2 linked regions of the Yarrowia lipolytica genome follow. The protein of the gene in region 2 purifies or fractionates together with the protein of the main gene of each other region. This does not show direct contact. Links are inferred from orthologs where the notes say so. Each region holds a gene or a part of one and is shown on either strand. Other genes may lie near its edges.

The links. Proteins that work in one complex are often made in the same cells at the same time.
Region 1: the proteins of YALI1_F16656g (region 2) and YALI1_D21120g purify together in Saccharomyces cerevisiae (affinity purification with mass spectrometry, with the first as the bait; 3 studies listed by BioGRID). This does not show direct contact. The link is inferred for Yarrowia lipolytica from reciprocal best matches to the Saccharomyces cerevisiae genes HSP78 and AIM9.

What each region holds. Positions count from the first base shown.
Region 1 is NC_090773.1:2,108,109-2,114,290, reverse strand, and holds YALI1_D21120g (uncharacterized protein), read right to left. Parts: upstream 2,241-6,182; coding exon 501-2,240; downstream 1-500. Other genes in the region: YALI1_D21145g (uncharacterized protein), read left to right, coding at 1-381; YALI1_D21100g (uncharacterized protein), read right to left, coding at 3,199-4,314.
Region 2 is NC_090775.1:1,661,302-1,670,126, forward strand, and holds YALI1_F16656g (uncharacterized protein), read left to right. Parts: upstream 1-4,313; coding exon 4,314-6,662; downstream 6,663-8,825. Other genes in the region: YALI1_F16614g (uncharacterized protein), read left to right, coding at 121-2,019; YALI1_F16649g (uncharacterized protein), read right to left, coding at 3,445-3,639, 3,683-3,796; YALI1_F16702g (uncharacterized protein), read right to left, coding at 7,928-8,825. UniProt on the Saccharomyces cerevisiae protein: Required, in concert with mitochondrial Hsp70 (SSC1), for the dissociation, resolubilization and refolding of aggregates of damaged proteins in the mitochondrial matrix after heat stress.

The DNA of each region.
Region 1 (6,182 bases), on a different chromosome or scaffold from region 2:
GTGGAGGAGTACGGACAGACAACTGTGGTGCAGGACATGCATACTCGAAAGCGGCTCATGGGCCAGGAGGCTGATGCGTTTGTAGCCCTTCCCGGTGGCTACGGAACCGCAGAGGAGCTGTTTGAGGTCATTACCTGGAACCAGCTGGGAATCCACTCCTGTCCCATCGTGCTGTTCAACATCAACGGTTTCTACGATGGCCTCATTGAATGGATCAACAAGGCCGTGGAACAGGGGTTCATTGGCAACGGCGCTCGAGACATTGTTGTTGTAGGTGAGACGGCCGAGGAGGTCATTGAGAAGATCAAGGAGTACAAGGTCGCCGAGGGACGGTTCACCCTCGACTGGGGAGACCAGGGCCCTAAAAAGTGTGACCATTAGAGAGTGCTAATTAGTAGATATAATAGATGTTGATAGATAAGGTCCCTGCCATTGCTAGACTCATTGATCTCATTGACTATTTACTATATACTATTGGACATTGAAGTTGGACTAAACCATTACTCCTTTTTGGGAGGAACGTAGACATAGTCTCCGCTCTCGGTCTTGTCCAGCAGACCGTTTCCAAACAGCTGCTCAAACATGTCCTGAGGAACCCAGCCCTTGGTCTGGAAGAAGGGAGTGGACATGGCCTTCTGGTTCCACTCGGCAAAGTCCTTGGCCTGCTTCTCATACTCCTCGTTGGTCCAGTGGACAGGGAACTCTCGCTCCATACCCATGATGGGGGTCCAATCCTGCTGCAGCTTGATCATCTCCTCCGACAGATCAAGGTGGTCCTCGAGATACAGAGGGTTGAGGGCGAGTCTAACAGGCTCTGACAGCCGCTTGACTCGAGGAGAGAAGGAGTTGATGAACTCAGGAGCCTCGTTGTTGAGCAGGAACTCAAAAGTGAAGGCGTTCTGGGTCTGGGCAATCATGTAGTTGACCTGTGCCTTCTCCTGGTCGCTGAGCTGGTCGTAGTTGGGAATGTCCTCGGTCTTGAACAGCTTGAGGCCTCCGTATCGCACATAGTCGGGAGTTCCGATCAACAGAGCGGGCTTAATGGAAGTGTTCTCAAAGTCGACCAGAGCAAGAGAAGACTCGGCAATATCCTTCTGGCCTTCAACAAGCACGTTGATAGGGTGCAGGTCACCAAAGCCCATTCGGGCAGAAAACAGGTTGTCATTCTCAACCTCGGGTCGCAGGAGAAGCTGGGAGGCAAGCTGCTGGTACTTCTCGTAAGTGGCGGTGGCAGCAGCAACCACGGCGGGGTTTCGGTCGCCGTTCTTGGCAAGCTCAGCCAGGTTGTGCAGGTTGATGGCAGCAGTGGCCTCAATGTACTCCTCGGCAGTCTCCCAGGGGCCTCGCAGGGGCGAGTCCTCGGGCAAGGAGTTCTTCCAGAATCGAGACTCGGTGGTGGGTCCAATTCTCCATCGGTCAGCAAGCTCCTTCTTGTCGTTCTCAGCACCCTTGTAGGCCAGAACAGAAGCGTCCTTGGAAGACACGTCCTCGGTGAAGTACAGGGATCCGTACCGGGTGAATTCGGGCTGCAGCAGCGCAGAGTAGATATCAACAACGGGCTTGATCTTGGCGGCTCGCTCGGTCATCTCCTGAGCCACGGGGTTCCAGTGCTTCATCAGAGTGTCTCGGCCAGCAAAGTAGTCCATCAGGGTGTACTGAGTGTCGAGAGGGTTGTCGACAGTAGCGTTCCAGCTGTAAACCTCGGGCACAATGAACTTGTTGTTGGCCACCTTCTCTCGCACAAAGTCCATGGTGGCAACCTCGGACTGGATTCGCTTCTTTCGGAAGAGCTCGGAGCCCAGACCGTAGGGGATTCGCAGCACGTACTGCTTGCCGTCGTCCACATCAACTCGGTAGACTCGGTGGTGCTTGCCCTCGTGTAGCGAAGCCAGCTGGGTGACCTTGATTTCGGTCTCGGCCTCAATGGGAGCCTTACCAGACTGGGGGAGCGACTTGATCACCTCGGCAAGACCCTCGATCGAGAACCGGGTCTCTCGCTTGGCTCGCTCGGCCTCGTTGTTCTTGAGCCAGGTTCCCCAAGTGTACTTGAAGAAGGCGTCTCGGTTGGGGTCATTCTCCTCATTGAGAGAGGTGAAGACGGTTTCGGGCCCGTCGGCGGGCTTGGAGGACTGGAATCTCAGGCCGGAGGCGGCGTTCAGGCGCGGCACGGCTCGTTTGCAAGCGTATCGGAGCATGGTGAAGTGTGAGGAGAGAAAGGACTGTGAGTTCCAGCTTTGCATACTCTGGGGAAGTTAGGTTTGAGATTATGAGTGGATGACGAGAGGTGGAGGATGATCGAGGGGTGCCAGAGAGCTGAAAAAGGAAAGACATACCAATTGAAGAATTTCACGTTGATCAACCGCTCCAGAATGCAAATCGATGCTAAACTGAAGAGGTTGTAGCCTCCCCTCATGCCCCTTCTAGAGAATTCTCACTTTGCAAAACCCAACCTAGTTTTTTCAGAACTAAAACCCGAGCACCATCCATGGGCAAATGACTGGAAAATGACGGCGAGAAAACTGTAACCAAACAATGCAAAGCCCCGAGTTCAACTTCCAGACAGGTCCGCAAATAGCACCATATCTTTCCGCCGCAACGAATTTTTTTCTTCACCCCTACACTCATTTTCTGGCCACCTTGAAATAAGGCAGACTGAGACATGAGGCGGAAGTTTAACGGAGAGAACGGATATGTCCCGTGTCTGCAGTGATACTCTTAACCTGTTGGGTATGTGTAACCATCCATGGCGTGACGCGACGTGACGTGATTGCCAACCCCAATTCCTGTAACACACCACTCGCTCACCCGACACAGACATTCCCGCCGAATTGGAGACAGAACATGATTGCGTCCGCCGCTTTGGTTGTGTCTGTGTCGTTTGGATCCAAGTGATGTGTAGGAGGGAGAGTGTGTAGTTTTATCAGAACTGCTAAATAAAGTGGGAAGGGTATTTGTTAGCTATTTACTTGTACGGGTAGCTACAAGTAGTATACCTATTGCAACCACTACAACCGTGAACCTCTCAGTTATGCACCCCGTTCATCATCATTCATACATATATCTGTGAGCTGAATCTGTATCTGTCGCCATGTAGAGTCGTGATACAGATGGTAGAGTCTCGAGTAGATTGACCAAGCACAGTGTACAGTATAAGTACATACTGTAGTTGCACCTCATCCGCCTCGCTCAGGTCGCCGCTCATGCAGAAACGGGCCCGCCGGGAGAGTTCTTGTATCTTGCGGTGAGAATCTCCACACCAGTCTCAGTGACTAACAGAGTGTGCTCAAACTGTGCGGACCACTTTCCGTCGGAAGTCACAGCGGTCCAGTTGTCGGGCCAGGTCTGGTCCTTAAAGGATCCCAGCGACAGCATGGGCTCGATGGTGAAGGTGTGGCCGGGCTTCATCACGCCAACTGCCTTGTTTCGGGCGTAATGGGGCACGTTGGGGGCACAGTGGAACAGCTGGTTGATACCGTGACCGCAGTAGGTTCGGATCACAGACAGGTTGGCCTTCTTGGCCTCGTTCTCAATCACCTCGCCGAGCGATCTGTACATGACACCGGGCTTGACGGCCTCGATGGCCTTGGCCAGACACTGTCGGGTGGTTTCAACCAGTCGCACAACGTCCTTGTTGGCCTTGGCCTTGTCTCCGACGTAGTAGGTCTCGTTGAGATCGGCATGGAATCCGTCCTTGTAGATGGTCACGTCCAGGTTAACTATGTCGCCGTCCTGCAGAGGTCGCTTGTCAGGAATGCCGTGACAGATGACCTCGTTGACAGAGGTGCAAACGGACTTGGGGAAGTTGTAGTAGTTGAGAGGCGAAGGGTAGGCGTTTCGCTCCATACAAGCAGCATGCACAATGGCGTCGATTTCTTCGGTGGTCACTCCGGGCTTGATGGCGGCGGCACCGGCGTCCAGAACCTCTCGGGCCAGCTTGGACACCTTTCGCATGGTGTTCTGCTCGTCCTCGGAAAGCACGGTGATCTGGGTGGATCGCTGCACCTTCTGTTCACTGATGGGCTGACCGTCTCCAGCATAGTCGGGCTTCACAATGTTGGGCTTGACCTCTCGACGAGGATGCAGGGGGTACACGGCTCGCAGGTCGCCGGAGTAGCTGTAGTTGGGGAAGGGATCAGTGGTTTCTTGGCCAGCGGGACTATGGACCGACTTATGCAGGGCCCAGTTTCGCTTGAAACAGGTCTGGTCGCAGAAAAAGGCGTTGACGCCGGTCTTGAGACAGACGGGGCACTTGAGGCTGCCGTCGACAATCTTTCCGCAATCGGGGCCGCTGCAGGTGTTCTCCACAGAGGTCATTTTTGAGATGTCAGAGTGGTGTGGAAGTGGGTGTGCTTCTGTATGTACAGCTCTAATCTTTTCACCTATCCAGAAGCTTATTTGAGATCAAGTAGTAAGCAACTAAATATTAGAGTTAGTGGAAAGGCTAAGTAAATGACGGTCTTGCGGGAGAGCTCATGAGTGAGGTTTTGGAGGTATATTACACGCGTTTGTGGAGAAGGCGTGGAGAAGGGGTGTCCTTGGAACTGATTACTAAGCCTTTTCGCAACAGTCGGTCTCACTTTCTCAGCTTCAACAGAACCCATGGATATAAGTCCGGTATTATCATATTCCGCACCATCCGCATCATCCAATATGCAGGAATGACATATGAGCGCATTAGCAGATACCGGCACTCAGATGTAGGGATATTGATTCTAGGGTGGGTGAAGTTGCTACAAGTAGCTCTTTCTGTGGTGGACCCCGGAGATACTAGTTATGAAGAGTGGTCATGAAGAGTGGTTATGAAAAGTGGTTACGATGCTTGTTTCTCATACACTAGCTAGTCAAGTATTGATCATGATGGGTATGATGTGAGGGTGAATGGTGAGAATACACTACAGTAGATGATAAGAATGTGTTTCTGTAGCTATTCGCGATCTTCGAATATCACGCTCTTTTCTTCGATTTAATCTTCATTTTCGCTAGTTATTGTGATAATTCGAAGTAGTCGTAGTAAATCAAGTGGCACTGTACCTACCATGGCTTGTACAGGTACTTGTTATGGAATGATCTGAGTGAATCTCAACGGCAAGAGATAACGGATTCTGATTTGCGGGTCACAGAAGGAGATTCTCAACTCTCAATGGGATAGTTCCATAAGAACTTGTACTGTAGCCCATGGGTGTCCAGTTTAGATGCTGTAAGCAGAACACGACGCTCAGTTTCTGCCAGAAACTTGGACGCTAGTTGCCAAAAACTTTTAGCGATGGAAACCCTTTAAAAACTTCTCCAGAACTCTCCAGAACTCTCCAGAACTCTCCAGAACTCTCGTGGTCCTATATGTGCGAATGAACGACCTCCACTCACCGCCATTGGACAGACACAGAGAAGTATGGGGATGGTGAATGTGAACAGGAGACAGTGTAGCGATGAATACGAGATTGGTACCATCTCCAAGATCAGCCGAAAACGTTTCTGTATATCAGCTCCTTTGTTGGATTCCATGCCGACAGTCCACCACAGAAGTTGAACATTCGCTGATGCTACACCTGAATTACCTGTCCCAAAATGGCCAAAAAAAAAAAAAAAAAAAAAAAAAAAAAAAGGACTCTCTTGGGTAATGTGACCAAAATCTGCTATTATTTGCGGAATTTATTAATATTCGGATGTAAAACTGATGCAACAAGTACCCTTCGCCCAAACTGTCCTACAACGAGTGCAAAACTCCTCTATCACAACTACTAACATCGACATGCTACAACACCTCCAAACCTAATCGTATTTTTTTTAGACACCAGGAAGCCTTCGTCAACAGACCCCTGTTTCCCCGAATCTGAGTAGAAAAGACGTAAACCAGGTATTCCAAACTCCAAGATCCCCCAGTAAAAAATTCGCTTCTCGAAGACTGCTCTAAAGGCACATTCACCGTTGCTTGTTGCTGTACCCAGATTGTCAACAGTAACTTTGATCCGAGGTACGTTGTGTGCGATATTGGACGAGCTATAGTCATTATCTCTGAGATCAGAAAGGCTAGAAATAGCTTCTCGAACTTTCAGTATGCCCAAAGATATACCAAAAGCTTTCTATATGTCAATATCTGCTTTTGTCACGCCCAGTCGAAGACGTTATATGCTGGACTCTATCAGATAATGTTTGGGTTGCATCGATCTCTGGTTACTGCTCAG
Region 2 (8,825 bases):
TCGTGATACCCACAGAGGACTGGCAGTCCGACTAATTAGTGGCAACGGCGGCGATAAAAAAACGACAACGACAAGCCACAAACCGCCTACAGAAGCCCCGATATAGACGGCCGTAACGTGATGCACTCCGACGCGCCCACGCCCGTGGCCAACGAGCTGTCTGAGGTGTCGCATCTGGCAGAGGGCGACAACGCGAGCTTTTCGGCGGGCAACTTCACCGTTCTACAGCTCCCATCGGACCCCTCCCATTGCATTGATTATGCTATTCCAGCAGGCACCCTGGTGATAGTGGATCCCAACAACCCCGACAACAACCGCACGGTTAAGTTGCAAGCGCCGGCGGTTTTCCGGCCCCAGTGTGCTCTGGGAGGAACTCGAGCTCCGGCCCCAAGACCAGAGGAGTCGTTTCCAGACTGGAGCGAATACCAAAAGTACCATCATAACGACCGACGAGACCCATTCTACGGCTCGGTCACGCCCATCGCTTATACCATTGCGGCGTCCACAGTCACAGCTTGGATGCTGCTGATCATTCTGTTTCTGTCGAGAAAACCGTCTCCTCTGTTTCAGAAGATTGCGGTGCTGATTACGGCGGTTTCGCTGACCGTTTTTCTGGCGCAGGCCACAGATACCCTGGAATCGCAATACAATGAAGGATACCAGAATGCATACGAACTACGACACAAAATCATGGGAGGATGGGCATTTCGAATTCTGCAGGTGATCACATGTGTCATCACCTGGCTGGCCCGTTTGCAAGTCGTGATTCGGCTGTTTGACGTGCCCAAAATCAACACTCGATTGGCAGTTGTGGGGTCCACGTTGATTTTCACCAATGCCACCATCTGGGCGTGTCTGAACTTCATTCCCCCGTGGTCGCAGTACGTTCGAAATGCCAAGTCGGTGCTTCCAGTGTTTGGAGCTCTGTGTTCGCTTCTTCTCGAGGTGTTTTATCTCGTGGTGGTTGTCATCTACTCCATTTCCAAACGCAAATACGCATACTCTCGCACGTCTATAGTTATGGCCGCCATCTCGTGGTTGGCCATGATCCTGCCCATGGTCTTTATCGTGTTTGATATTGCTCATTACTGGATTGCAGGCTGGTCAGACTTCATTCGGTGGACGGCTGACGCTGCTGCCTCGGTAGTAGTGTGGGAATGGACCAATGTGATTGTGTACCAGGAGCGAAGAGAGCAACGACAATCAGTCCTGGGCCGTCAGGTGTATAGAGACGAGATTCTGGACTTTAAGGGCGACAACGGAGGAGGAACAGTTGGAGGAGGGCGAACAAAGTATCCTTCTCGCATGGAGGAAGACGACGTTCCTTTCAGATCGTCTCCCAACGACCACCACTTTACTTCCAACATTCCTACTTCTGCTGGCGAGGGACAGTCGTTCCAGTTCTTCAAACGGGCCAGATTGCCCATGTACTCTCGCAAGATTTGGAAAATTGCTCGAGGAGAGTCTGCAGCTAGTAACAACACCCATTACGAGCACGCCATCATTGAGGAAGAGGAGGAGGAGTCCATTGAACGAAACAGACGGACTCCCACTGTTCAGGAGAATGGAGAGGAGGACGACGAGGAGACTTATGACGAAGAGAATGACCAGTACAGCCAGGACAACCATTCGTCTGTGCATTCCTTTGAGTCCAGTCGACCTTCCCAGCACCCAGTTCCTTCCTCCGGAGGCACTCGGGCTGTGGGACACACGCATTTTCCTCTTCCCGGCCAGTCCGAGGGAGCAAACACTACTTCTCCTGCTGCTGCTGCTGCTGCTGCAGAACCTGAACCTGAACCCGTGGCTGGTCCTTCAGGGGGAGCTGCTGCCCATGGAGACTCGGATGACGACTCGGACAACTCGGACGACTCTTCTCTGGCGTCCTTCACCGTGATTCAGCAGACTGGCTTCTCAGTCGACAATCAGGGAGTACCCGAGTACGACGCAGACTCTGCTCCTCCCACTTTTGAACCCATTCCTGGCTTCCATCGCCAGGATTACTCGGATGCAAAGGGATAGGAGACCTATTTATATATTAACGATAATGATTTATGACATTGGACTTTACGATAGGCGAGGCGATGAGGGTGCTTGCGTGTATCGCCGAGATAATGTGAAGTTACTTGTCACTTAAGCCATGCTCATTGTAGCGAGATACAGTAGGATGTTTGTGAGCTTCATTTACCATCCTCTTCAAATTCTCATGACTCAACTCTTTGAATCATGTAGATCGAAGGCAGTCAGTTCAATGTTACATTGTCTATAACTTGCTGAATGATCCAGTTGAAGACTCCAATCAAGTCTCATACGAAACTAGAGTGGTTTTATCACACCGAGTTGTCTTTATTCCGCCGTTGAAACGATATCTATAAATTCACAGCTCGTAAACCAATCCACTATGGATAAATCACAACTGGGCACATCTTCAACGTCGACAACGACAAAGATAATGAATGGTATTGGATTGGAAGCATGAACATATAGCCGTACTCCAGAAATAACCGCCCCAAACTGCTTCCATCTCCCCATCTCCACATCTAACCCCAGGGTTTTCCAAAAAAAAATTTGGTTTTACCATTTTTTATTCAATCACGTGACTTGTATCACTTTACTTGTGTCTCCAACGCCGTTGACAAATTAACCTTCGTCCCCTATAGCTCAGTTGGTAGAGCGTTCGGCTTTTAGTAACCCTAAAGGCATGGTAACCGAAATGTCCAGGGTTCGAGCCCCTGTGGGGGAGTTAACATTGTTAATTTCCTTTTTGTTTTTTTTTGGTGTTTTTCTTTTGTTTTTGTTTCTCCTCGCCTTGGATAAAAATTGTGCACTGGTTTTAGCCCCCTTTCATAAGTACAGTACCGGTACATTGTGCTGGAAGTTGTAGCCATGTCAGATAAAAATGTTGTTTAAATTGCTCACCAAAAAAGTGGAGTCATATTCTGAGATGTTTTGGGCAGTTTTTCGCACGGAAAAAGTTGAAAATCAGATCTACAAACACTTTAAAATATATTTATTGATTCAATTTTGTTGTTTATCACCACTAACACCACGTTTGGTACGTCTTTTGTCCCAGATATTAAACTCCGTTATCAGTGGGGCTTGCATTTATCATGCATAATCGTTTGAATTAGTTTCACATTGAGAATAGTGTCTCTAACTCGGTCAATATCGATGGGGTTGACTAGGTGAAAGTTGTAAATACATTATAAGACTCACCGTGAACTCTAGTAAAAAAATTGTCTTTCTACGACCTCTATTGATCCAGAAAAATGAACATCTCGTGAATCCCCCATTTGCCTGTCCTGATCTTAGAGAAACTCGAAAACTACAATTTTCACAGGGTCAATTGAAGAGCTGGTATATTGCAATGTCATTTAGAGCCTTTATATCAACTTTCGGTGTCAATTTGGGCCCATTTGTCACATTCTCGTGTGTAAATATCGGCTGTCATTTTTTGGCTCGATAGAGTTTTGGTCTAAACCAAACTGCGGTTATTGGAATGAGAGTGGAAAACGTCCAGGTGGGTTGTGAGAGGTGACATGAGCTTGAATCAACCACCAGCGAGTTTCTACCATTGGTTTTTGCCGCTTTCATGGTCTCCTTTTCTCCAAACATCCACCACATTCTAGAAGATTCCAAGGCCTTCTACAACGTTCCACCCGATTCCATAGTGCCGAAACATCACCGGGAATGGGTCCTGAACCGCAAATTTTTCCCGTTTCGCCACCATTCTTCCCATTGACCCGGTTAAAATCGGTTTCTTTGCCACCGGGCGTGAAATCGCCCATCTAGCGCTCATTCTGAATGGTCCAAAACCACCCTTCCCGCTCTAGGAAGAGGCATACCACTGTCGATTCGTACTGCGACCACTCCGCCCAGAAATACTGTACGAATGCTACACTGCTGCCGCCTCTGCTCACACCACCGCCCACATGCACATTTCCCCGCTCATTGGCCCGCGAAAGGGTTGCTACGAGGGCCAGACTGAGGCAGTCTCAGCCTCGCGATTAGGTTAAGGCGTAGGCATATGTGATGCCTTTAGATGTGCGGAAGATGTCGTATCTACTGACGCTAGCAGGGGCAGTACACGTCAACAAACCACATAATCGTCTTCTCCATCCTCGGTTTAGTTGATTTCCCGTCTCTCCCGCCTTTGCCACCGCCACAGGTCCCAATAATCGCCATGGACGATTCCAGAACCGCCTTCAACTTTCAGCTCGGTTAACTTTGACGGTCCCATCGCCAAATATATATATCAGCAGCGGTAGCGGAGCAGACACACATAAAACGCACACGCTAACTACTACTTCAACATTATGTTTCGAGTGAACGCAAAGAACGTGCAGCGATTGAGGGCGCGACCTCTCGCTCACGCCAGCACAAGGACCCAGGTCCAGACCAGAGCTTTGAGTACTGCTGTTCGACCTACGACCTCCGCTACTACCAGCTGCTCTACATGGGGCACCATCAGAACCCCGACGATGATTCGGGCTCCAGGAAGCCTCGGATCGCCGAGATTCATCACTATGACCCAGAACCCCGGTGGCGAAAAGTCGTACCTGGAGTCGTACGGAGTGGATCTGTGCGAAAAGGCCAAGGAGGGCAAGCTAGATCCGGTGATTGGTCGAGACGAGGAGATCAAGCGAACGATCCAGATTCTGTCTCGACGAACGAAAAACAACCCCGCGCTGATTGGTCTGGCCGGAACCGGTAAGACCGCCATCATGGAGGGTCTGGCCCAGCGAATCGTCAACGGCGAGGTGCCCGAGTCCATGAAGGGCAAGCGGGTGATAGCTCTGGACGTGGGGGGACTCATTTCCGGCGCCAAGTACCGGGGCGAGTTCGAGGAACGTCTCAAGGGCATTCTGGAGGAGATTGACAAGGCTGAGGGCGAGGTGATTCTCTTTGTCGACGAGTTGCATCTGCTGCTGGGCCTAGGAAAGGGCGAGGGCTCGGTTGACGCCTCCAACCTGCTCAAGCCCGCTCTGTCGCGAGGTAAGCTGCAGTGCTGTGGAGCCACCACCATTGACGAGTACCGAAAGTACATTGAGAAGGATGCGGCCCTGGCTCGACGATTCCAGTCGGTCATGGTCAACGAGCCCTCCGTGGAAGACGCCATTTCCATTCTGCGAGGTCTCAAGGAGCGGTACGAGGTGCACCACGGAGTGCGACTGACCGACGCTGCTCTGGTGACTGCCGCCGTCTACTCCAACCGGTACATTTCCGACCGGTTCCTCCCCGACAAGGCCATTGATCTGGTTGACGAGGCTTGTTCGGCCCTGCGACTTCAGCACGAGTCCAAGCCCGACGAGCTGCAGGAGCTGGAGCGCCAGACGGTGACTCTGGAGATTGAGCTGGAGTCGCTGCGAGAGGAGGAGGACCCTCTGTCGGTGGAGCGACGAAAGAAGGTGGAGGAGAAGCTCGAATTCAAGAAGGGCGAGATTGAGCGGCTCACCAAGGTGTGGGAGGACGAAAAGCGGGCCATTGACCAGATCAAGGAGACCCAAAAGACCCTTGATGGCGCCCGAACCGATCTCGACACCGCCAGACGAACCGGCGACTTTGCCGCCGCCTCCAAGATCCAGTACCAGGACATTCCCGAGCTGGAGCGGATTCTCAAGGACGCCGAGTCCTCCGACGCCGGCTCTTCGTCTCTTTTGCACGACTCTGTGACCCCCAATGACATTGCCAAGGTTGTTTCTCGAATGACCGGCATCCCTACATCGTCCATGATGAAGGGCGAGAAGGACAAGCTGCTAGATATGGAGGTGTGCATGAAGTCACGTGTTGTGGGCCAGGACGAGGCCGTGGACGCTGTGGCTGACGCAGTGCGACTCCACCGAGCCGGTCTCACCAACCAGAAGCGTCCAGTGGCCTCGTTCATCTTCCTGGGACCCACCGGTACCGGTAAGACCGAGCTGACCAAGGGTCTGGCCGAGTTTCTGTTTGACGACGAGAATGCCATCATTCGGTTCGATATGTCCGAGTTCCAGGAGCGACACTCCATTGCTCGACTCATTGGTTCTCCCCCCGGCTACGTTGGCTACGAAGAGTCTGGAGAGCTGACCGAAAAGGTGCGACGAAAGCCCTACGCCGTGGTTCTGTTTGACGAGTTTGAGAAGGCCCACCCTGATGTGTCCAAGCTGCTGTTGCAGGTGCTGGATGAGGGTACGCTGACCGACTCGCAGGGCCGAAAGGTGGACTTTACCAACACCATTCTGGTCATGACCTCCAACATTGGCCAGGAGTATCTGATTTCGGACTCTCCCGACTCCAAGAAGAAGGTGATTGAGGCGCTCAAGTCGCACTACGCCCCCGAGTTCATCAACCGAATCGACGAGACTCTGGTGTTCAACCGACTGACCAAGGAGGCGCTGACCGAGATTATCGACATCCGGCTGCTCGAGGTCCAGGCTCGACTCGAGGACAAGCGAATCACGCTCTTTGTCGACGACGAGGCCAAGCAGTTCCTCGTCGACCACGGCTACGACCCCATGTACGGCGCCCGACCTCTCAACCGACTCATCCAGAAGAAGGTGCTCAACCCACTGGCTCTCCATCTGATCCAGGGCCGAACCCGAACCGGCGAGAATGTGCACGTGACTGTTAAGGATGGCGACATTTACGTTCCTGCCAACCACGAGACTGGAGAGATTGAGGAGTGAACCAACCTAGCGTCAAGCTGCATGTCTGGTAGACAGAGGTCATCAGATGAAGGTAGACTACACTAATGTATATAGAATAATGTTACTGATTGATAAGTTGAGAGAGAATATTGTAGAGCAGGGCCGATTGTATCAGTGTGTACTCCAACTTGATGAATCAGTCAACACCCCATTTCCAATCGCGTTGATATGGCGTACTTTGAGGTTGTCGGTGTCAACTCAAGCAGCCGTTCCGTAGTGTTATTGGGCAGCGAAATACTCTTATCAAAAGTCACGGAGCAAGCCAATGGACTTGAAAAGTTTGGACAATAGCCAAGAATCTCGATTTCCAAGTGTATTACTTCTCTCCGCCCTTTTCTCCCTCTTCTGAGTACAAGTAAATCTCTGACAGGACTTCACAACAGGTCAACACTATCAAATGATACAATGTGCCCGGGCACTTGAGTTGATTGAAATCATTGACGATCAAATTGCGAAGCCTCGCTTTGCACTCCTCGCTTTGCACTCCTCGCGTTGCACATCCTGTCGGAAGTTTCTGCTCCACCCAGAAACATGTCTACCATTCGTCTCGAAGGACTCTGGCAGGCAGCATAAAAAGAACTGATGACACAGGCATAGATACATTCATCTGTACGCTAAAATAACCCATCTCTAGCCTCAAAAAAAAAAAAATGGACGACACCGGAATCGAACCGGGGACCTCGCGCATGCTAAGCGTATGTGATAACCAACTACACCAGACGCCCTGATTTTTTAAAAACAAGGACATGTGCAACTGAGTTCTGGGTAATGGGTTAGGGATCACTGCCTCTTTGGGTAATCATAATCTATGGATGTTGGAGTTTCACTGATTTCGGAGTTTCACTGATTTAGGAGTTTCAAGCAGATTTTGGAGATACAAGCAAATATATGAGCATATAACAAAGTGTGACAAGTTCATTAGTACTCTTTCAATCAGTTTTCGGTGTTTGGTTAGGCTAAATAACGTGTTGAGGAACTCAAGAGGTGAGTATGGTACGAAGATTCCTCAAAGCGCGGTAGAAAATGGAAAAGCCATTCTTGACGTTTCTCACGTTCATCTATGTGTATTTTCATCGCTGTTTGTTACTCCTTTTCGTTGTCTACACCTTCACCTCTCTAGGTTGAAAATCAATAATCTATATACATGCTTGGTAGCTTGTGGGCCTAGTGCACTGTATCCGAGTCTGTGGAGTTGCATTCTCCATCCATAGAGCACTGGTAAAGTCCATTTGGGTCTGGAACGTCTACTTGAGCTTCTGAATCTCACGTTCTCTCAGATGACGTCTCCAGAGAATCTCGGCGGGGTCCTGCTCCGGCTCCACCCACTGAAAGCCCTCTCCGCTTTCGGACCAGTATAGCTGCATCATTTTCTCATCGTGAGTGGTCACTGGCGCCATTTTTCGGTCAATAAGTGCGTCCAGGACCTCCTCAGACACCTGGCCCTGGTTTTCGGGCATAAGTCGGTCAATCTCGACAATTCGAGACACCATTTTCATCTCGTCCGCGTGGGTAAAGTAGTGCGAGTAGAAAGTGCCCTGCATCCACTTGACCACCTCTCCGTTGCCGCAGAAACGACCAGCAGTTGAAATGACCGAAAAGATGGACACGTTGGCAAAATAAGCCCACCAGAGAATGTGGAAGGTTGCTGGGGCCACACCAAACAGCAGATCGGCAGCCATGAGCCCCTGTCCAGCACCAGAGATGCTCAGGCCAAACAGACCCCACACGCCCAGATATTTAAGCATCTTTTGTTTGATGGACTTGATGTGTTGAGGCGAGCCGGCCGACAGGTCGACGACCTTGAAGGCTGCGGGGAAGTCTGTTTCCCAGAGCGCCTTTCGCAGTGGACCCATGGCCACGGTTCGGGGAATCGGGGTGTCTGGGTTCTTTTGTTGCCACACCTCCATAGCCCGGGTTCCAAACCAAGGAGAGTAGTACTTGGAAGTACACACCGTCTTTTGCAGCATGTCCAACGAAGGCTTTTCAGGTAGGTCCAGCACCTTGTCAATGAGCTCCCGCACCTCGTGAACCTGCGTAGTAAGCCCACTGGCAGCGTATGTGTGTTCCAGCTTGTTGGCAGCATGCAGGGCAGAAACCACGTCTTCAGTTGAAGAAGAAGGCGTCAGCTTGGCCGAGTAAGCT